3 linked regions of the Tamandua tetradactyla genome follow. The protein of the gene in region 2 purifies or fractionates together with the protein of the main gene of each other region. This does not show direct contact. Links are inferred from orthologs where the notes say so. Each region holds a gene or a part of one and is shown on either strand. Other genes may lie near its edges.

What was found.
Region 1: the proteins of CAPN1 (region 2) and CAPNS1 purify together in Homo sapiens (co-immunoprecipitation; 4 studies listed by BioGRID and IntAct, counting the BioPlex papers as one, with this or other methods). This does not show direct contact. The link is inferred for Tamandua tetradactyla from reciprocal best matches to the Homo sapiens genes CAPN1 and CAPNS1.
Region 3: the proteins of CAPN1 (region 2) and CAST purify together in Homo sapiens (co-immunoprecipitation; 4 studies listed by BioGRID and IntAct, counting the BioPlex papers as one, with this or other methods). This does not show direct contact. The link is inferred for Tamandua tetradactyla from reciprocal best matches to the Homo sapiens genes CAPN1 and CAST.

What each region holds. Positions count from the first base shown.
Region 1 is NC_135342.1:29,811,311-29,818,756, forward strand, and holds the start of CAPNS1 (calpain small subunit 1), read right to left. Parts: upstream 3,040-7,446; 5' UTR 2,907-3,039; intron 2,553-2,906; 5' UTR 2,358-2,552; intron 2,098-2,357; 5' UTR 2,081-2,097; coding exon 1,881-2,080; intron 1,131-1,880; exon of another isoform or gene 1,080-1,130; coding exon of another isoform or gene 1,033-1,079; intron 864-1,032; coding exon 830-863; intron 541-829; coding exon 451-540; intron 292-450; coding exon 234-291; intron 147-233; coding exon 82-146; intron 1-81. UniProt on the Homo sapiens protein: Regulatory subunit of the calcium-regulated non-lysosomal thiol-protease which catalyzes limited proteolysis of substrates involved in cytoskeletal remodeling and signal transduction. Essential for embryonic development.
Region 2 is NC_135335.1:9,387,981-9,395,481, forward strand, and holds the start of CAPN1 (calpain-1 catalytic subunit), read right to left. Parts: upstream 3,032-7,501; 5' UTR 2,969-3,031; intron 2,732-2,968; exon of another isoform or gene 2,436-2,731; intron 1,761-2,435; 5' UTR 1,760-1,760; coding exon 1,493-1,759; intron 1,341-1,492; coding exon 1,271-1,340; intron 988-1,270; coding exon 869-987; intron 1-868. UniProt on the Homo sapiens protein: Calcium-regulated non-lysosomal thiol-protease which catalyzes limited proteolysis of substrates involved in cytoskeletal remodeling and signal transduction. Proteolytically cleaves CTBP1 at 'Asn-375', 'Gly-387' and 'His-409'.
Region 3 is NC_135347.1:34,426,910-34,434,117, forward strand, and holds the start of CAST (calpastatin), read right to left. Parts: upstream 3,040-7,208; 5' UTR 2,897-3,039; coding exon 2,810-2,896; intron 2,575-2,809; exon of another isoform or gene 2,560-2,574; coding exon of another isoform or gene 2,485-2,559; intron 1,947-2,484; exon of another isoform or gene 1,831-1,946; coding exon of another isoform or gene 1,801-1,830; intron 1-1,800.

The sequences.
Region 1 (7,446 bases), on a different chromosome or scaffold from region 2:
CTATATACTGGCTGTCCCAGTCACATGCTCAGAAATCTCCCTCTTCACCCAGGGCCTCCCTCTGACTGCCCCCAAGGATACATCCATAACGGCCACCATGCTGCGACACGTGTCAATACCAAAACCATCAGTCTTCAGATCAGGGTCTAGGAGAGAACAGGTTAAAGGTCAGTGGCCATAGATCACAGCCCCTTCTGCCCCTATGCCTAAACTTGCACTATGTATTCACTCACGTCGTGTCACGACCTTGTTGAGAATGTTCATTAGTTCAGTAGCACTGACCTCCATGTCCTGCAGGGAGAAGTTATGGGTGGGTCAGAGATGGCTGGAAGGAGTGGGCTGGTTCTGAAGGAGGATGGGAACTTTGGGATTATCATGGTATGTGTATGCAAGGCAATTCAAAGGAAGGCTGTGAAAGGCTGGGACTGAGCTGGGGTCTCAGTTACTTACATCTCCAGCCAGCTGGGCAAACAACCTCCGGAACTGTCGCACCTCCTCGCTCTCATTGGCCTCAATGTTGGAATAATGGGTGCGTGGGGGCTGCAAATGGAGAATATCTCAGAGCAAGCAGGGAGAAGGGTACCCCAGCCAGGAGAGCTCCCCACACCCAAGTGCCCTAAGTGGAGGTCAGAGTGGAGTGGGTGACTGAGTGAACAAAAAAAGGGGGCCCCTGTCGCATGGCTAATATCCACAGCTAAGTCAGGGGACTTGGCAAGGTAGGGACTTAATGGGAGAGGGATTTCATAAGAGGGAAAGGGGTTGGGGCTTCTCCAAAGGGACAAGGATGGTTCTGGAAAAGGCCGTGAAGGAGGAAGGGAGAGAGGCTCACCGGGGGCTCCGGGTTGTATTGCGCAGCCGCCTCACTGTGAAGAGACACTGGGAGTTAGTACCAAGGGGCGGGGCTTCCAACGGGCATCCCCAGCAGAACTGCCACGACCAGCCCCCCACAACTCCCAAACTCCCAGCCCACCATCCTTGCTACAGGGTTCCTCCCCACTCCCACCTCCAAGCCTCATCTGTCATTATCCTGACCTGTTCCTATCCTTGCTGCCCTGGTCAAGTCCCTCCTCTCCCTCCATCAGGCCAACTCCATCCGCGAGGAAACCCACGCACGGGCCGCCCTCGCGGCAGGTTCCACTACCTTCAGGGCATACCTACCCAATGGCAGATTCCAGAATCATTCTGGCCCCACCCATTCCCAGCCCACAATCTCGCTCAACCTCAAAAGACCTGCCCCTCCAAGAACTCGCTTCTTAGAGGATATGCCTACCTTTCCTGGGCCTGTCTCCTCTTCTTAAATTCCATTTGCCCAGGACCCACCCCCCACCTGAATGCCTGTCTTTCTAACATCCCGCCCCAACTCCATTAGGCCCCACCCTTTCAGTGGCCAAGGCCCCAAGCGACAAGTGACCTACTCCTAAGCACAGGATTTTTCTCCCTTAATTGAGTCAGTTCCTAGCTAGGCCCTACACCTTCAAGGCCCATTTCCTCTCTCCCATTAGGTCTTAGCCTTTCTTAGGCTCACCTCCTCATTAACCTAAGACAACCAGGCCGTGCCCACTTCAAGACCCAGCCCATGGAGTGACATACTCCTGCAGCCAATGATGGCTCTTCCCCCTCCATACTTCTCTCTAGGTAAGCCCATGCTTGGCCGTGCCAAGTCTTCCATCTTTCCCAGAGACCGGCGGGTTCCGTCAGGTTAAGTCCCTCTTGGGCCAACATCACTATTGACCCCCACGGCAAAACCACGCCCACGTCAAGCCCGCCCCCAAAACGGGCCTCAGCCCCGCCCCCAAGGCCCACCTCCCTGCTTAAGCCCGGCCCAGTCTGAGGGTTACGATTCTCTTGTTGGGCCCGCACCCCGCCAGGCCCCGCCTTACCTGATGGCGCTAATGACCCCGCCCAGGATACGCATGGCTGTTCCGCCGCCGCCGCCGCCGCCACCTCCTCCTCCGCCGCCGCCGCCGCCGCCGCCGGCCCCGCTGATCAGGCCTCCGAGCACATTCCCCAGGCCTCCGCCCAGGCCCCCGCCGCCGCCGCCGCCACCACCGCCCTTCAAGAACGAGTTAACCAGGAACATGGCCGCGACTCGGACTCCTGAGGAGAGAAAGCGTTAGGTGGCTGCCTCGCCCCTGAACTCCTCCCTCCCCCCAAAGGACACATTTTCGTGAGCGCTGAGGAGGAATCTGAGGCCTCCGGGTGGGTGCCAATCCTCCGGCTGGGGCTGAGGGATTCGGCCAGGATGAAGTCTGTGCTTGCGGAGGAGGTAGCCCTCGGATGTGTGGGATAGGGACGGAGGATCAGACTTGAATCCTCCTCGGTTCTAAAGGGTCCCTGTCGGGTTTGAGTCCACGCACAGTTATCATTAAGGGTAGGGGTCCAGATCGGGAGGTTTGTCCAGACGCGAGGCCCAAATTGGTGTAAGGCGTCTCCGACGTGTGTGGGCGCTCGAATCTGAGATCCAGGAACGCCAGAATTGGAACGTGGGAGTCTTCGGAGGATCAGGGGCGCAGATCTAGGATCATCGTCCCTGGAGCAGACTTGAGGGAGTCCTGAACGAGGAAGTGAGGGTCTGGGATCTCCGTGCGGTGAGATTACAGTCGCATCGCTAGGTCTGTGGCCTGAGGCCTGAGGTCGTGGTTGTGATCCCCAAGGCCCACGATAACAGGGTCCCCACTGGAACTGGGGGCGCGCATCTAGGGTCGTGGTTCTAGAGGCCCCAGGACAGAATTTACGGGGTGCCTGCAATCTGTAAACTCGCATCTTAGATCACGATACGAGGGAACCCCGGGACCAAGATAACGGGGGCCGTCCAGGTCTAGGGATCCCTGAGGCCAAAACTATAGGATCTCGTAGGCTCTGGGGGCCGCCGGGGGTGGGTGGAGGGGTCCGCGCCGAATGCTCACCGCCTAGCTGATAAGTCCGTCGATCTGGCGGCCCGTTTGTCTGCTCCTCCCGGCCTCCCGCTGTGTCCGGCTCCGGAGGGCGTGGCCGGTGACTCAGGCTGCAGTGCCCGGGTCAGGCACAGTGACGCGGCCCAACGGGCATCCGCTGGGGTCCTAGAGCCGACTTGTGCGTATGCGCCTGCGCACACGGGCCTCGAGACATATGGGGCGTGAACACTGCGGCCCCACCCTTGGGTGGGCAAGTTCCAAACCCGCCCCAATCTAAAGGGGTTTGAGGGCTTTCCCCACAACCTACAACCCCGGGCGCTTTCACGGGGACAGGAAATTCGAGGTGCCCTAGGCAATCTCGGAGAAACCCCCACCCGAGGTTCCTCTTCACCCAGCTGCGGATGCGGCTTTCGGGACGCTGGAAAAGATAGCACATGACCCCTATACAGGTCTTGTCGCTACGAGCAGCATCAGGAGGCCCCGAGTTTTGTTTCCGAGATCAAGCGTACTCATCTGTGTTAGGCATTGAGGCTAGGCTAGTCTTCCCGTTCCCTATGGCAGCCAGATCGCGGTCAAACTGTAGGTGGGATTTCCCCCACCTGGGAACGCATCCTTGCTTCTCCTCCACCTGCTTCCAACCCCGAGTCAGGCGTAATGTTTCCTGGCCGGGCCCAACATCTCGCCTCAATCTTCCAATCTAAAGAAGGCCCCGGACATAGGAAGGAGTCTCTGTTCTCTGGTCCCAGCTTGGCCAGATGTTACCGAGGTCCCAGGGTGGATAGGATACAGGGGGAGAAAGCGGTGTAACTGAGAGGAAAAATCACGACTGCAGCCGCCTTTGGAGGCCTTTCACTTGCTCTCTGTTTCCATCCTCCAATCAGTGTGCGCCAGGTACTTCCTCGGGGCTCTTCAAGGCTTCTCAGAGGGAGCTAAGTCTGGCATGGCAGTCTGGCTGTCGCACCCTAAGCCCCTCCCCTGGAGGATGATGGCTAGGCCTGAGTTTGAATCCTAGCTCTGTCCCTTAATATCTGTGCCACCCCAAGAGAGTGACCTGCAATCTCTAAGCAGCAATTGTTTCATCTGTAAAATAGGAACATGGGTCTTACCTCCATTAGCCCCCTATTAGAATTAAGTGATAAATTCTTAGTAAATGGTAGTTATTAAATGCCTCTGTGCCTGTGCCCTCCCATGCTGTCTCCTACCCCTGCCAGCTCACTCTTATTCCTCCTTAAATAACACTGATAAAAATAGCTGCTAGGCACCTTCCTAAGTACTTTACCTAATTTGTCCTCACAACAACGCTGTGGATGGATACTACTTTCTCCCTTTTATACATAGATAAACTGACTCCTAAACCTAGACAGCCAGGCTCCCTAGCCTGGGCCCTTAACCACTACCCTAATGCACTGAGTCTCCAGTCATATAATTAATATAATAACTCAAATAACAAAATCACAACAGACAATACCACATCCTGAGTTCATGCTTCCTGAGGGCCTCCTGGGCCAGGACAGGGCAACTGCCTACACAAGCCTTGTCTCTAAGGCAGAAACTAACAAGAGAGAAAATGGAGGCTCTGAGAGGCCTCAGGTCACAGAGGGTGGAAGAACCAGGCCTGAACCTGGGCTTGGTTGAGGCCGTATCTTTTGAGGGTGACTAATCTGGATTCCCTTGTCACCACACCCCTCCCTGCCACTCATAGTTTCAACCAAGCTGAACAGCTTCAGCGGCCTGTCCTCTCCCTGGGCTCACTTGCTGCCAGGGCTTTGTGTAGGCTGTGCCCTCTATCTGGAACACTCCTACCGCCTTTTTTTTTTTTTTTTTTGGCCTGGCTTTGTAGCTACTCAGACTTTGGGTGTCAGCTCAGGAGTGGCCTCTTCCAGGAAACCCTCCCTAACCCCCCACTACTCCCACCCAAAACTAGCTGAGGCTTCCAGTTATATGCTCTGAAAATTACTTGTACTTTCTCATGACATTCACAGCCCATTATAATCATGTTGTGGTCTAGGTCTGTATCCTGGAGCTCCTAATTCTGGTCAGTCCCAGGACTTGGTCCTCCTCTGCCACACATGCTGCGTGAGCCTCGCCCATACCATGCTTTAAATTTCATCTCTAGGCTGTCAACACCCAAATATCTTCAGCCCAGAGAGCCCCTGAGCTCCAGGTTCCTTGTATCCTCCTATAGTCTGCCTTCCACTCACCATCTCCATGAGGGAAGGGGAGGGATCTTAGAGGTATCTCAAATTCCACACATCCCAAACTGCTCCTCCCCCACCTCTGCAAGTGGTAGCCCTGTCCTTCCAGTGACTGAAGCCAAACACCCCAGTGTTGTCCTTAAACCCTCTTTCCTTCACACCCACTCCAACTTGTCAGCAAACCTTGTTGACTCCACCTACAGAATCTAAACTCCTCCCCTCCACTGCCCCACATAGGTCCTGCCTCCTTCCTCTCCCACAGCAGCCTCTTCCTGCCATCCCTGCCCCCCACAGTCTTCTCCCCACCTGCAGCCAGAGGGACCCTGTGAACACCTGGGTCAGATCAGGCCCCTCATGGCTGAGCCCCGCCCTCCTCCCCTGGCTGCCCTTCACTATAGGCAAGAATCAAAGTCCTCACTAAGGCCCTGGTGATCTGGTCCTACCATCTCTCTGCTCTTCTCCTCCATGAGAAAGAGAGAAAAGGCCCTACTGGCAGCTCAACCTGGATGGTCCCACCTGAGCACTCAAGACAAGGACACACAGCAGCATCCAGACAGTCCCCCTCTACATACATGAGGGCTGCTTCTCCATTGCCAAGGCTAGTTTCCAGCCCCACCTTAGTCCCTTACTTCTTAGTGCCTCACATCAAGTGATCAGGAAGGTCCTCTGGGATCCTCAATTTAAACCCCCTGCTCCTATCACTTATCACCTCTTAGCATATTGCATACTCATTCCGTTTGTCTCTTTCCCCCACTACAAACAGCCTCCAGAGAGTAGGGATTTGTCTAGTTTGCTGCTATGTACCCAGTACCTAGAACAGTGCCTGGCCCATATTAGGCATTCAATAAGCACTTGTTCATGATGAATGAAATGTTTTACATGGATTTTGTCATTCAGTTTTCAGCGTCATCAGTGAGATAGTCCAGCAAGCATTACTAATGCCTCCCGAACTTTTGCATGCTCCTTTAAACTTCAGCAGGGTTGGATGACTTGCATTGTGAAAGGAGAGCTGGAGCACTGAGTGTGGCACTTTCCAGGTGGGAGCATTTAAAAGCTCAATGCAACTGTGTGTGTGAGATGGGGTATAAAGAAACTCTGTACTTTCTGCATGATTTTTCTGCAAACCTACAATTTATTTAAAAAATAAAAATCACAACACTGACCATTATTAAAAAAAAAAAAAAAAAAAGCCAGTGGAGGATGCTCCATGCTCTCTCTCTCTCCCCTGCCCTGGCAACAGTGGAGATGGTCACCCACTGTCACCCAGCCTGCAGCAAACTGTATGAGCAAGAACTAACATTTTTGAGGTATTAGTCCACCAAGCTCTAGGGCTCATTTGTTACCACAGCATAACCTAGCCTATTTTGACTGGTGCATGTAGATGTTATGATCGGGCCCAGAAAGAAACCAAGGTCCAGGGTGGGGGTAGTCAAGATTTGAACTCAGGGAGTCTGGCTTTGTAGGTTACACTTTTATTGCTCATAATGTGCTGCCTCAGTGATATTAGCACCAATAATACACTCAGTCATAACTACCCTAGCTAACCATCTCCCCAGGGCTTGATGGAACTAGGTTAGGATAACAGTCTTACCGGCATATCTTGCCAAGGCATCTCACCACCCTATGAAAAAGGAAATAACTAGAGGAAGCGCAAGTTCAGAGAGGCTAGTCACTTGCCTGAGGCACCACAGGATTTGGCAGAGTCTGAGAGCTTGGTTGATGCCAAGTTGTTACATAATGACTAATTTGGATTCCTGTCCCTCTGTTCCCCTCCCTGCAGCTGGCATAAGCCACTTCCCTTCCCTCTCCTCACCATGCTGTTTTGCTGCCAGGTTTTTGCATAGGCTCTGCCTCTGCAGGAACACCCTTTTCACCCTTTTTGCCTTGGAGTCACTGTACAGATATCACCTTACCAAGGAAAACTTTCTCAACCTCCCTCAGCCCAGACTAGAGTCCCACTCTGATTGCTGCACCTCCACTCTCTGCTCTGGCCCACGTATGGCTCTTGATATTTCCCAAAGATAGGTTTTGTGTTTCCCGCCTTGTAAAGTGTCACCTGACCTAAATAAATAAATAAAATAATGAATTACAATCTATAACATTTGATGATATCTGTCTTCCCCTCTGAATTGGGAGCCCTGGTCAGGTGAGGGGATGCTTTCTCAGGGACAACTGTGTCCCCAGCATTACCCAACCCAGTGCTAGGTAATAGATGGAGGACGTGACACTAATTTAGCTGTTAGCATCATCATCATCATTTTCTGTGCAATTGTACCAATCCAACTCCCTCACCAGAATGAAAACTCTTTGAGAGTCAGTGGATTGTGTACTTACATGGTTTTCAGCAAACCATCCTC
Region 2 (7,501 bases):
TCAGAAGGGGACGGGTTGTCCAGGTGGGAGAAAGGGCCTGTCCAGTCAGGACCCAGGGTACCGAAGGCTGAGGGAAGGGGAGGGGGCGGGAGCTGGAGCAGGTGGAGGGGAGACCCAGGGGCAGGAGGGAAGGAGGGAAGTGGGGGGGCACATCCCTATGAACTGGACAGGTGCAGCCACATGGCTTGAACCTTGGGTCCTGCAGGACCGGTGTGGGTGGTGTGGGACAAGGGGGTCCCACATGAAAAGGAGAGAACACCCAGGAACCCCCAGGACAGGGCTGGGGCCCCCAGGGCAGAGGGTCTGGCCTTTAGGTTGCCAGGGTGTGTCTCTGCCAACCCCAGCTCATTGCAAATTAATTCGCCTGACCTGAAAAATGGGCTCAGGGAGCAAACAAGGTCAGGAAAAGCTGGTTTCAACAGACTTCATCCCAAGTCTTTCTTTTTAGCGGGGCGCAGTCAGAGGCTCGAGTTTGCCAAAGTGAAGGAGGTGCTCAGAGGGGAGACAGCTGCAGGTACTGGTCTGTTTTACCCTCTAGAATGCCCCTTTATTTTTAGATGGGGAAAGTGACGCCCAGGGAAGGAGAAGGATCTGCCCTGCAGGATATACAGCAGAGCTCTTTCTTTCCTTCCAAACACCTTCTCCCCAATACACCCTGGAAACCCGCCAGCAGCAATACCTGCCTGACCGTGTCACACATGACAGACCTGAGACGGCAAAGAGAGGTCAAATACCTTCCAGGGGAGGGGCTGGCCCCCGCAGGGTGTGCCTGCGGCTGCCCTGACCTCGGACAGCAGTGCATCCCTGCATCCCTCCTCGCCAATACTCCCCCACGCCAACGCGCCCTGTACCTGTGCAGGTGCCTCACCTGGAAGTGGAAGATGCCGGCGTAGCCATCCTGGAAGCTCTGGCCATGTGGGACCACCCGGTGCAGTAGGGTGTCGTTGAGGGTGAGGGAGGCAATGGCGGCCAGCAGCCAACAGTCCCCTGGCATGGGAGGGGGCCCACATCAGGTCCACTCCCCGGAGCCTGCTCTGACAGTGCATACAGGTGCCATACTGGGGAACAGGTGGGGCTCCCCAGGTGGTGTGCCCTGGGCTCCCCTCAGCTTACCCAGGAATCTAGGCAAACCAGCCCCAGCCCTGATTGGCAGAGCCTGCCTCGGCTTGCAGGAGGGCGGAGTAGGGGCAGATCCCGCTGCAGGAAGGAACGGGACTAGGGAACTCACAAGACCAAAAAAAAAAAACACCCAGAGTCCCCCGGGGCCTACCCAGTGCTCCCTGGCAGATGTCTGTGCGTGTGGCTCCGTCCACAATGAACTGGGGGTTTGAGAGGAGCTCCTGCGAGAGACCCAGAGTCCTGTCCCTCCTGGAAACCGGCCCCCAGCCACCCCAGACCCCCACGCCCCACCATCCTGTCCCACCTCCTCACCCAAAATTGGGAGGAGGGGGAAGGGGTCGGCCAGCCCCACCCGGGGTGGCCCCTCTCTCACCGTGGGGCGCTTCCACTTGATGCCATAGGTCTTGGAGGAATTGGGGCCCAGGTCTTTGAAGCCCAGACTCTGGGGCGCTGGGGGGAAGGCCTCGTCCCGGAAGAGGGACCCGCTCTGCAGGCACTGCGCCCGCAGCTGCTCATAGTCCTGGCCCATGTACTTGATAGCATTCTCGTGGCGGCCCAGACCCAGCCCCTTGGCCCGCAGCTTCTGCACTTGTGCGGACACCCCCGTGCAGTACACCGGAGTGATGAACTCCTCGGCCATCCTGCGGGACCGATGGCTGGCTCAGAGCCCAGGCCTTCCCTGGGCGAGGACTGGGGTGCCTGCCCCTCTTCACGGCCCCCCACCCCGCCGTTCCTCTCCAAACCTGGGGTTCCCTGGCCACACTGCAGTTCCCCTTGCAGAACCTGAGGGGCTCGCAGTGCCCCCTCCCTCTGCTCCCAGCACCCAGGAGAGCCCCCCTGCCCCGCCCCTGGGTGTCCAGGCCATCACCACCCTGCCCCCCCTCACACTGAATACCCACCACCTCTCCCTTCCCAAACTATAGTCCTGGGCCTGCAGCCTCCCCTCCCCGCCCCCAGGTTGGACAGGGTGGATCCCGTGATAACAGAAGGAACAGAGAAGGCGGGGACCCCAGGGAAGGCCTCTTCCAACCGATTTGCCAATCCCAGACCCAACAAGTTCCCAGCTCTGGGCTGCAGGCTGAGAACAGCGGGCAGACAAGGACCCCGCTCCCCAGGCCCCCCGAGACTGACCGGGCCATCAAGGCGGGCTGGACCCCCAGCCCCTCCTCCTCCAGCCCCGCCCCGGCCCAGCCCCTGGCCACAATGGTGAGCTCAGGCTGGGGCCGCTCCCCAGCACCCGGAGGGTCGCGGCCGCGCCGAGCGGGGGCAGCCCCGGGGCGCCGTGGCCGGGATCAGGGCACCCCGGCCGGCCTTACCTGGGGGCAGGGACGGCTGCTTGGGCAGGGGGTGGGGGGTGGCGGCGGTCCCTGCGGCGGGCTTCCCCGGTGGCTGCTCAGGGCCGGGCCCAACCAGGAAGAGCGCTCCTCCCCGCCCTCCTCGCGCGCCCCTCCGCCCGCCCTCTCTCCTCCTCCGGCGGCTCCGGGGGCTCGGCCCCGCTTCCTCCCCGCCCTCCCTTATCTCTCCCACGCGCTCTCCGACTATCTCTCGGGCCCACGGCGTCTCCCCGCCCCTCGCTCCCTCCGCAGGCCCGGGTCCAGCTCCGCGAGAGGACAAATTAGCCAAAGGCACAGTTGTCCCCGGGGAGGGGCCAGCGCGGGGCCGGGGCCGAGGGCACGGCGGGGGAGGAGGGCGGCTGGGCAGGGCCGCGGGTATTTTTAACCAGGGGCCGCGGCTCGAGTTGCAGGGCCCGGCGGGCGTTCCCGGGCCAGCGCGCCGCGACACGCGGGCCCCCCGGGGGGACCGCCACGGCCTCCCGCCGCCCGCCGCCCCAGCGCGGGGCCGAGATTACCTGGCGCTGCTGCAGCCGCTGGCGGCGGGGCCCGGGCGTGCGGCGAGCGGCGCGGGGACCCGGCCGGACACTCGGCAGCCGCAGCCCCACCCCGCCCGGGCCGCGCCGCACCCCGGCTCCCCGCCCCCACCCTCACCCCGCCCCCCACCCCACCCCCGCGCCCTGGGGCGCAGGCCCGGGGTTGCCGCCGCCGCCGCGCCTCGGCGGCTGCAGGCGGCCGAACCGGGGCTCGCGGCGCGACCTTGGGTAAGTCCCCGCGCCTCTGTGCGCGGGGTCCCCGGTTCCCGCCGCGCGCCGGCTGGCGATGAGCCGCTAGGGGAAGCTGTCGTTCTCCGGCGCGCTGGGGTTTCTTGAATCGGGGAAGTCGGAGTCGCGGCGGGAGGGTGGTCGGGGGGCTTCCCCGCCCACTCCCCCACGCCCTCTGCCCGCCCACCAGGGAGCGCCCACGGGCCGCCTTACCCGGGAGGGGGCGGCGGAGGCTGCGAGCCAGACTGCAGGCGCGCTGAGGACCCGGAGACCCCGGCGCCCGAGCTGCAGGAAGCAGCGGGAGACCGGGAGGACTGGGGTGGGAAGGCGAGGAGTTGGCAGGCTGCAACTTCCCGCAGCCCACGGCTTCGCACCGGCCCTGGGGACCCCAGCCCCGCAGCTCCTAGGACGTGCACACAAGCATTTGGCTGGGGAACAGACCATAGCCTTTTCGGGATTGTCAGATCCAAGACCCCCAAAAGGTTAAGAGCCACGGATCTAAACCGAGTTTACAGATTGGGGAAACTGAGGCCCGGGAGGGGCGTGGCTTGCCTGAGCTCCCTCACCTGGTTAAGCCGGGACCAGAACGGCTCTGGGCTCTGTGCCCTTCTCCACTCAGCGTTTATGCAGCCAACCTTGACAAAACCCTTTCTGCACGGACCTGCGACCAAGGTGAACCAGCCACTGCAGGGGCAGGCTCCCTCCTGGCCCAGTTTTGGGGATTAAAAAACCTGATTCTTCATGGCTAAGTAGGAGTTAACCAGGCAAGAAGGTGCTGGAGACAGTGTTGTAAGCAGAAAGACTGTGAGGACAAAAATCCAAAGGCTAGGAGAACACACCCTGTAAGGATGTCCCTTGTGGCTGGATCAAAGGGAGCAGGGGAGAGGGAAGATGTGACTGCAGAGTGCCAAAGACCACCTTTCCCCTCAAAGCCCTCTGGCTCAACCCCCCGTGTCGGACAGTCACCTTCACAACCCTTCCATCTCTTCTGCTAACTTGACTCCATCCCTTCCTTCACCATAGAGCTTAGTGAGGCAGGAAGCTGATGTGATTAGATCTGTACAAAGGGAGGAGGAGGCTGCAGGAGGAGTGGTTTGGAAAGGACAAGACACAAAGCAAAGAATCCAGATAAAAGACTGCTGCAGTTAGTTGTCCAGGAAGAGATAATGGTAGCAAGGGATGATGGAAGGTAGGGTGGTGGGAGACACAGTAGAGAGAGATAGGTGGATTAGTTAACTATCCAGAATACAGAATAGCAAAAATGAATTCAAACGATCACAGGTTTAATGGTAAAACCTGAAAAAAAACTTCTGGAAGAAAACATAGGGGAAAGTCTTAGTGACCTTGGGTGGGTTTGGGAAGGATTTCTTAAATATGCCACAAAGAAGCACAAACTATAAAAGAAAAAAAAAGTTAATAAATTGAACTTCAAAGTAAAACACCGTTTTTCTTCAAAAGACACTAATTGGAAAATGAAGTGGCAAGCCATAGACTAAGGGAAAATAATTGCCAAAATTTATCTGATGGACTTTGTATCTAGAATACATAAAGAAGTCTTGCAACTTAAAAAGACAAACAGTCCAATAAAAAATGGGCAAAGGATACGGACAAGACAGTTCACTCAAGAAGATATATGAATGGCATAATAAGCACATAAAAATCTGGTTGACACATTACTCATTAGAAGAATGTAAGTTAAAACCACTAAGAGATGCCACTGTATACCTACTAGAATGACTAAAAGAATTACCAACCATGCCAAATATTGGCAAGGATATGCAGAAAATAGAACTCCCATCCACTGCTAGTGGGAATGTAAAATGGTACAATCACTTTGGAAGACAGTTTGGCAGTTTCTTAAAAAGTTAAGTATACGCCTACCATGTGACCCAGCCACTCCACTCCTGGGTATTTACCCAAGAGAAATGAAAGCCTATGTCCACATACAGACTTGCAGCAAATGTTCGTAGCAGCTTTCATTGTAATAGCCCCAAGTTGGAAACAGCCAAATGTCCACCAATGAGAGAATGAAGGGATACACAAATTGTGGTATGTCCATACAATGAAATACTACTGAGTGATAAAAAAAGAACAAAATGGATGCAGCTCAGAATAAGTGTGCTGAGTGTAAGAAGCCAGACAAGCGAACACATAACTATGTAATTCTGTTTATATGAAAATTCTAGAAAATGGACACTAATCTAGTGACAGAAAGCAGATCAGTGGTTGCCCGAGGGGTGGCAGGCAGGACACGGTGGACAAAAGGGCCCGAAAAAACTTTTGGAGGTGATCATACGTTCATGGACTTGATTATGGTTATGGTTTCATGAGTATATATATATATGTCAAAACTAAAATAGCTCACTTTATATACATACAGTTTATTGGATGTCAGATTCACCTGGATAAAGCTGTTAAAAATGCCGAGAGGATTTAATCACTGATAGGATATAGCTCTTGGGAGAAAGGGAGGAATCAAGGGCTCCCAGACCCTTAACCTGACTTGATCCCCATTGTGGATTCATGAGAAGGTGCACTCACTAAGCTAGGGGTAGAGTGGAAGTTCAGGTTTGGGGGTTACCCTCAGGACCTCTGAGTGACATACTTGGGGAGAATGGATGAACTCATGTGACACTCAGAGATAACCTGCAGTTATCTGTCCAGCAACTGTCCATCAACAGGTGAGTGCACAAACACATTATGGGTACCAAGGAACCCTTGTTCTCGGTAGGGATTTGCCGTCTAAAGGTGTCAATTCTCCCTAAATTAGTCTGAGTTCATCACAATTAAAAAGCCTAGGGTGGGCGCTGGTGGCACAGTGTCAGAGTTCTTGCCTGCCATGCACAAGACCCGGGTTCGATTCCCAGTGCCTACCCGTGCCAAAAAAAAAAAACCTAACAAGTTTTTGGTTGTTTATTTTTTTTGGTGGTGATTGGGGGGTGGGAAAGTTGATTTAAAGTTCATATGGAGAAATAAATAAGCAAAAAGTCAGGATGCTTATGAAAACAAAGAGCAATGAACAGAGACTAACCCTACCAGATATTTAAACATGGCAAAGTTATAATAGTTAAAATGTAATAACTAAAAAGTAATCCTAGTACACATAGATCAGTGGAAGACAGAAAAACCTAGAATTAGATCTAAATGCACACAGGAATTTAGTATATGCTAAATGTATCATTTCATATCTGTTGAGGAAAGAGGAATTATTCAATAAAAAGGTATTATGAAATGGGTAGGAGCAATCTGGGAAATATAGTCGGATCCATAATCTACAACCTGGAATAAACTCCAGATGAATCCAAAATTTAAAGGTAGACATTAAAAATCAAAAGTAAAGCCAGGCACTAAGGGAGGTTTTGAGAAAATCATTTTGTGTGGGAAAAGTCTTTTAAACTATGATGCAACATCCAGAAGCCATTAAAAAAAAAGTTTTTTAACTATGTCTAAAAATCCATTTTGAAAAGCCAAAATTATAAACTGAAGAAAATATTTACAGTTTACACCTTGAATGGCTAGTTCCCCACCTTAAGTATCAATGAGAAACCAAAAACAAGGGAGAAATGGGCAAAAAACAAGGACCCCAAAATGGGAAATACCTTAATGTCTATCAGCAGATAAATGGATTAAAAAATTGCAATACCAGCATATAAATGGAGTATTATTCAGCCATAAAAATAAAGCAATGAACGCTGGTATGTTACATGGATGACCTTAAAAAATATTATGCTAAGAGAAAGGAGGCAGACACAAAAGGTCACATATTGTATGATTCCGTTTACATGAAATTTCCAGAACAGGCAAATCCATAGAGACAAAGCAGGTTGGTGGTTGCCAGGGGCTGTGGGAAGTGATTGTTCAATGGATATGGAATTATGAAAATTATTTTGGAACTAGATAAAGGTGGTGGTTTCAAAACATAATGAATATACTAGATGACACTGAATTGTTCATTTTAAAGCGATTCATTTCATCTTAATAAAAAAGAGTGTGTGGAGCATAAATGCACATTTGGTTACGTATGTTTAGATTCTCTGCAAGGACATAAAGTATTGCTTTCATTGCTGCCAGGGAAGGGAATCAGGTGGCAGGGAGTCAGGGGCAAGATTGTGACTCTTGGTTCAAAATTCTAAATGTATGTGCGTATATATTACCTCCTCAAGAAACAAATTAAAAATACTTTTTAGACCAAAGAAGATACACAGATGGCTGAGAAGCGTATGAAAAAAATGGTCATCATCATTTTATTAAGGAATCACACGTGAAAACAGATACTACTATGTGCGC
Region 3 (7,208 bases), on a different chromosome or scaffold from region 2:
TAAGAACCCATGATGTAGAGCTGTATGGTCCAATACTATAGCCACCTGTGGCTATGAGCACGTGAAATGTGCAAGTCCAAGCTGAGCTGTGCTCTAAATGTAAAATCAACCTGGAATTTGAAAAATTAATATGAAAAAAGAATGTAAAATATCTCAACAATTTCGACATTGATTACCTGTTGAAATAATGTTTGGAATATAATGGGCCAAATAAAATAAAATATTAGTATAGTTCAGCTGTTTTTCTTTGCTTTTGTTAATTGTTACTAGAACATTTTAAACTATATATGTAGCTCACACCATATTTCTATTGTACAGCACCAGTCTGGGAAATGTCAGCGCGTGGCATGCTGTGGATTCTAGGAAATTCCTATTAGCAAAATGTTTTCATAATCATCCCAAAATTGGATTCTAAGACAGAGGTTTTAGCAAAAATGTCAATGTGTAAGCTTAAAACATAGGCTTAACTATTTTCATCCAAGTAGCCCAGCTAGTTTCCTTCAGCGAATCACAAATTTGGAAGATGTGGATGTCAACTCTTACCACTGCCCATCCGTATTTGCAGATGATTCATGTGGTACATTTTGATAAGAATCTTAGGACAAAAACAGGTCATTCAAAGCAAGCTTTCACTGTTAAGTACATCAATAAGATGCTACATTAGAATCACCTAGGAAATGTAATGGAAAACATCCTTGAAGAAATATCTCAAGGGAAATGGGAATTTCAGATCATTAAGTGTATGTCCGGCACTTTGATTCATGAATCTAATTAGTCTTTACCAACCCTTGTGGTGTGTATTATCAACCCCATTTTACAGATGTGGAAACAGGTTCAAAAGGCTGCCCTTCGAGAATAAAATCTGTTTTTTTCTCCACTGTGTATCTGGAAGCTATACAAGTGCCTGCCACCTGTCCACAATGGCCATTGACTTATAAATGGCAGTTTCCTGATTCTAATAGAAGGTTTTCTTGCTCCAAAGAATGTCTAGTTATAACCTTGCTTTTCCCAAACCCTATGCTAAGAGATGCACCTATTTAATTTTTTTTGGAAATTCCGACCATAAATCAATGGAACATAAATATTCCAACCCTGTCAACAAAACTTTGGGATATCTTTTTTGGAAAGCAACCTCTGTTAAATCATACTTCCTGGTTCCAGATCACTACAAGTGTCAGCTTGATTAATTGATACAACATTCAATGCACTACACAAATGGAACATCTTTGTCCCGTCTCCAAAGTAACCAAGTGCAAAGCATTCCCCCCGCCTCTCCCACCCCCCACCCCCCACGCCAAAAGAATCTTGATCTCGGCTACTTTTGCTCTTTGGGGTTTCGTGTTTTCTCCTTGCCCTAAATCAGGCTGCCTCGACTCCTTTGAATTGGAAAATGCATGCCTAACAACCTTCCTCTGAAAAAACTGAACCTAACTTGGGGGTTAAAAACAAACCCCCAGCTCTTGTGGGCTGCGCGCAAGTTTGTCCAAGTATCCGTGTCCGGGGGCGGAATTCCTCCAGCTCCAATTCCTGTTCCATTCAACTTGTGAGCAGGAGCTGAGCTTGGTGCATCTGCTCGCACCGAACCGCACGCCCGGGCTCGCTCGCACTCACATACCTGAGAAGGGTGAGTCTCCGGGCCTCTCAGGCAGCCTAACCCCAAGGTCTGCGAGGAGGTCGCGCCGGGTTCCCACCCTTTCCCGGCCAAGCCCGGACAATACCTCGTCCTCACGCCCCGTAGGACAAACCAAAGTACACACACTCCCTTCCCGTTCCTGCCCAGACAAGATCGCTCCCATTTACCGTCTTATACCACCAGCTTGCGAACGCCATGGTAACAACTGGTTCGCTTCTGAGCCGCGCGGTGCAGTACCCCGCGAGGGCACCCGGAGCGCTGCGGGGGGCGCGGAGCTCACACTCCTTTGGTGCGGGACCAGGCTGACAGCGAGTTCAGCTGGTCGGGTAGTAACCAGGTGGGCGTGCACAGGGGGCGGGGCCCGACGCAGACCCCGCCCCCGGCAAGCCGGCCCCACCCCGGCCGTTTTGGCTCAGGGCAGGTCCCCGAGAAGAGTTACTTCTCCAGGCAGCCACGCCCTGCAGCCAGGATTTGACGCGGAAGAGAGAATTCCCCCAGCCAGTTAAACAACCCCGACCACTCCGGGGGGTCCCGAATGAAGTTTATTGTCTTCACATCGCCATCCTCATTTTACTCCTGTCTCAACAGCCAACTTTTCCCGGCGCTGGCACTGCTTCTCGCCCCGCGCCACACCCATGACACCTGATCTAGGCCCAGACACCTCTGACCACCTTCGGGCGCCCGTGCGGCGGCGGGCGCTGAGCGCCGAGCCCTTCCCCTGCCCGGAAGGGGGCGCACGGGGCTCCAGGCCCGGCAGGCCCGGCACCGCCCCTGGGGAGGCAGCCCACGGCTCGGGGACGCGGGGCCTCCCCAGCGCCCCACTCCCCGACTCCGGCAGGAACGCCACTCACCTCCTGGGCGCCGCGAGCCGCCGCAGCGCGCCGGGGCCGCGGGGAGGCGGCGGGCTTCTGGCCCGGCTGGGACATGGCGAGGCCGCGGCGGGCGCTGCCACCGGGACCCGGCAGCGGCAACTGGGAGGCCCGGGTGGGGAGCGCTGGGGGGAAGGCGCGGAGCCAGGGCCCGGGAACGCGCCCGCGAGGCAGCTTTTCCGACCCGGCCGCGAGCCCGCGGGGGGGCTCGCCCTCGCCAGGCAGGGCCCTCCCCTTCCTGCCGGCGGGTGGCTGCGGCCCGCGCGCTCGGGGCACACGCCTAGCACCCTCTGCCCTGCGTCCTCACCCGCGACCCTCCCTCCACTGCAGGACTGTATGGTTCTCCTTGAGTCAGAGAGAGGAAGGGTTGGAGGTCGCGGGGTCCCGCCTTCATCGTGCCAAACTTCTGTGGGAGTTGTGCAATGGGAGAGTCGGGCCGGGGCGTGGCCGGTCTACGCCTCAATCCTTCCTCCTAAGAATCTCGAGAATTGGACAACTTGTCGGCAATCTGCCCGGCTTCAGCTGAGAGAAAATCTACTAAGGCAAATCTGGCTCACGCCTGGACTGTCTAAATAGGGAAGTGGATAACAAAAACAAACTTGCGTGTGTGCGCGTGCGCCTGTATATATTGTGTCATTTTACTTTGTTCTGGCAGACTAGGAAAGTTTAGTAATGTTTCGTGGGGAGTAGTTCGTAGGTTCCATCCCCAGGTTGGAGAACAGTCCCCAACTTCAATGTACCCTGTAGCCTTTCTGGAGTCTGGCGGGGTTTGTTTCTGAGGCTGGACCACTTTTGGCTTTGGCTCTTCTTGAAAAGCACTTCCTGGTTTGGGGCTGGAAGCGAAATTTAGCAAGTCCGAGTTGAAAAGTAAACGTTCATCTGGAGAGATTGCCAGCTTGCTGTCGCCGCTAGTTGGTGATCGCACCCGGCAGAAAAACCTGCTTTTCTCTGCAATGGCGTTGCAACTTTGGGTCTCTGGGCACCCCTCTCTGGAGTGGAGAGAGTTGAAGAGGGAGAGGCTAGATTATGAGGAAAGATTTGCCATGCTGTATGGAACTTGTCAGATATGAATTCTTGCATAGCCCCCTACTCCCTCATTTCTAGGAATACTGAGTTCTCGCTCCTCAGTTAAGGAGAGGCTAGCATCTTAACGGGGATGCTTTAAATGCATTTCCTCTTAAAGGGACCAGCTTACTATGTGTGTGTTTCCAATAAAACAGGCTGTAGTGCAGGAATTTATTCATGAAAACAAAATAACTTGAAAAGGGGGGATGTGATTGTTCAGGAATAACTGATTGCATCAATTGTATTCAGATTGGGGAAAATGTCATATCTGAAAGTTTAAAGAAAGCTTTTGTGATTGTGACCGAAATCACTACAGTAATTTAAATAACTAGAAAAATGACATGGATGAGGTAACAGGCATGTATCTTTTCTCTGTAATTGGGACCATTTCCTTACTAGGGAGCCTAGATGTCCTATATTCAAATTTTAGATCCTTGAAGTACATTATTCTGACTCTGGTTAGAACAGTTCCCATTGACTTCATGGCATTATCTTCCAACAGAGCATTTTAAATGGACTTTAAATAGTTGGTTTTTTTTTCTTGAGAGCCTTCCATGTAATGCATTATGATATAAAGATTAAAATACACACACACACACACACACACACCCTCCAGGAACTTAAGTTTAGTGGAATGATAACAGCATTTGTAACACATGATCATTTGGATGACTCCCAAAGAGATTTATTTTGTGAATAAGTACAAATGTGCTTTGGAGGTTTGGGGATCCATGGATTTTGCTAATTATAGGAAGGGAAAGAAAGGCTTGAGTGGGCTGGCAGAATACTGGGATGTGAACAGGAGAAGAGGTGGGGCTGTTCAGGGATAAAGAGGAATCCACTACCTGGCCAGAGCTGAGGGACCTGCTCAATCTTGTTTATCATCCTATTTTTTACTGAGCAGCTGCACTGTACTAAGTGATGCAGTAGGTACCAAAGGCTGTAAAAGATGCTGACCCTGCCCTTTAGAATTTGCTTAAGGGTTTGAACTAATATAAGCAGGACATCGATGGGCTAAGCACTATGAGTAAAGAGGTTTTTCAAAGAAGTTTAAGAGGAAAGTGATGTTTTCACTTTCTCTTGTAATCAGTGAGGAGTTATTAGAACTTTAATACCATGACCAGAATTTTGGCGACCTTGAGAAGTGCTTTTCAGTAATATATGGCGTCTTTTATTACATCATTATGTGCACATATTGTAAACATTTATTCCTTTATTTACTCCACGACTGGATGCCTGAAATGTGTTATCTAGGGACCTCCCACACTCAACGACCTTGCAGTTCAGTAGGAAAGACAGTGAAGTAAATCCACAATGATATGACTCTAGGGATAAGGGCAAGAGCAGTCAGGCTTTAGGGACTTCTCACTCAGACGGAGGGGTGGGTGACTTGGGGAAAGGGGCTGCTTCCTCCCTCCATGTCTTGACCCAAATGAGTTGAAGCCCCTTCCTAGTAATCCCCACATTTTATCTCCTCCTCTTCACTCCCACTGCCCCTGCACCTATTCAGGAGCTCATTATTCCTCATTAGAAAACATGTATAAAATGAAGGAAAAAAAAGGCAAAATGGAGTCCAGAGGAGGAGGCGCCAGTGGCTCCTGAGAAGGAGCAGGCAGGGGGGCTGCAGGAAGCTAGGAATGAAGTGGTCTGAGGCTAAGGAAGGAAAGCAGGTAAGAGTGAGGGATAGTCACTGAAAGCTTGAGTCAGATCATGTGTGAAGAGTGTATATTCAACCTGGTAACCTAGGCAGTGGGTTATACTGAGAAGAAAGCAAAATTTCTTCTGAGGTACCCACAGGTTTTGATTGTTTATTTGTTTGTTATTAGCTATTGAGAAAAGTTTAATAATGTTTTAATAATATCCCCCCCCCCCCAATTTGGGAGGAATTTCTTTTCACACCACCGCACAACTGGATGGGAAGCTACCCCCAGAAAAAGCTGGACCTTCTGGCTGATATTCAAGTGCCCTCCGATCCCACTGAAAGTTACTGTCCCATCTGCCATCTCCTCTCAGCCAAGTTTACTGCCTTCCTTAGTTTCATTTTCCTAAGTAAAAAAGAAGATAAATCTTGAAAATAGGAAAAGGATAGAAGACTCATCTGTTGCATTATCCAAAGAATGGCTTCAGTGGTAAAAATGTTGTGCATGTAGGAGAGGAAGATGTGTTAGCCAGTTGGAGAATATGTTTAGAACACAGGAGCCTTTGTCTTTCTTTTCAGATCACACTGGGTTGTGCATGGATGGCGGATACAGGGAGGGGAAAGAATGGAGATGAAGGATTGAGGGACAGAGGAAGAAGAGAGAAAAAAAGAGAGAGAGAATAGCATATGACATGATTGTTAATTTCCATGGCTACCAAGCAAGAGCTTGAGTCACACACATATCTATAGCCAGGTTTGCTTCTCATCGCTTATGACCGTCTTCCCTCCTGATAGTATGTCACTTGCCAAGTGCTTTCAGGCCTTGATCTTCAACATGGCAAAATTTCCCACTTGGCTCTGTGGACCAAAGAGGGCTGAGATCCTATTTCTTCATCAGAGGTTTGTTAGGAAGTACCCTGGAAAGGGAAAGGAAGGAATGGGTAAAGGGAGAAGCTGAACAGGGATGCAGATCCAACAGAGACTTAGGACAACTCTGCAGGGTGTTATGATGCTGGGATCACCTTCAGAGTTCGTCTCCAGGATGGGGAGTGAGGCCTGGGTCTTTATATCCCTGCATCAGTCATGGGATGTGGTTGATGCTGGAAGGGGGAGTGACCTTAGGACAGGTAACTGTTAAACTGTGGCAGTTCCCAGAGGAGGCTGACAGAGGAGGGCTGTTTGCTGGATGCACTACCAGCAGCTGGGGTAAGGAGTCCTTTATTCCTGAGGGGAACTGTGTGGCTTGTCACATCTATGACACTCCTCAATGTTCTATAATACCATAAAACTTTGCATATAGAATGGAAAAGGGAATAAATATTACAAAAGCATGCTGTCAAATTGATATGTAACAGAACATTCGGTTTGAGAATTTTACTCATTTAATTAAATTTCTTCTCCTTTCACAATGGCATTTGCCTTCAAGAGGAGTCACTGAAGAATAATTTGTGCAGCCATGCTGTTAATAATATCTGGATACAAAGAAACGATGACTTTACAACTGGAGATTGCTAAGAATGGTTAGAAATAAAGGGGAAATAAAATATTCATGTTTTTTTTCCTATGATATTGAAAATAAAAAAAGACTGCCTTTATAGATCTGACATCAGGCAAGGAGGTATACAATATCCCCTGCTTGCCTTTCGAGAGCTGTCCAGCCATCTTTTGCTCTCCCTGCTACTTTTCCTGGAGTTTACAGGTTTTCATCCTGCAGGGCATGAGGTTGTAAAAAGAGATGTGCTCCCAGAGTAAATGTGCTGTTAGAATCAGTTCTCAGTGCAGGCCCACCTACTAACTAGTGATTTGTGCAGCATCCCTGCTCATTGTCACAGCCCTTCACACCCGCGAGGATGCAGTGTGAACCTCCCAGGGCCTACAGGACCTGACCTCAGCAGCCTTGCACAGGTGTGGTGCTGTATTCTGGCCACACCCGCCTGATTTCAGTTCCTGGAACATGCTGGGTCTCTCCAGTTCCTGCCTTTGCTCATTTTCCTTCTCTGGG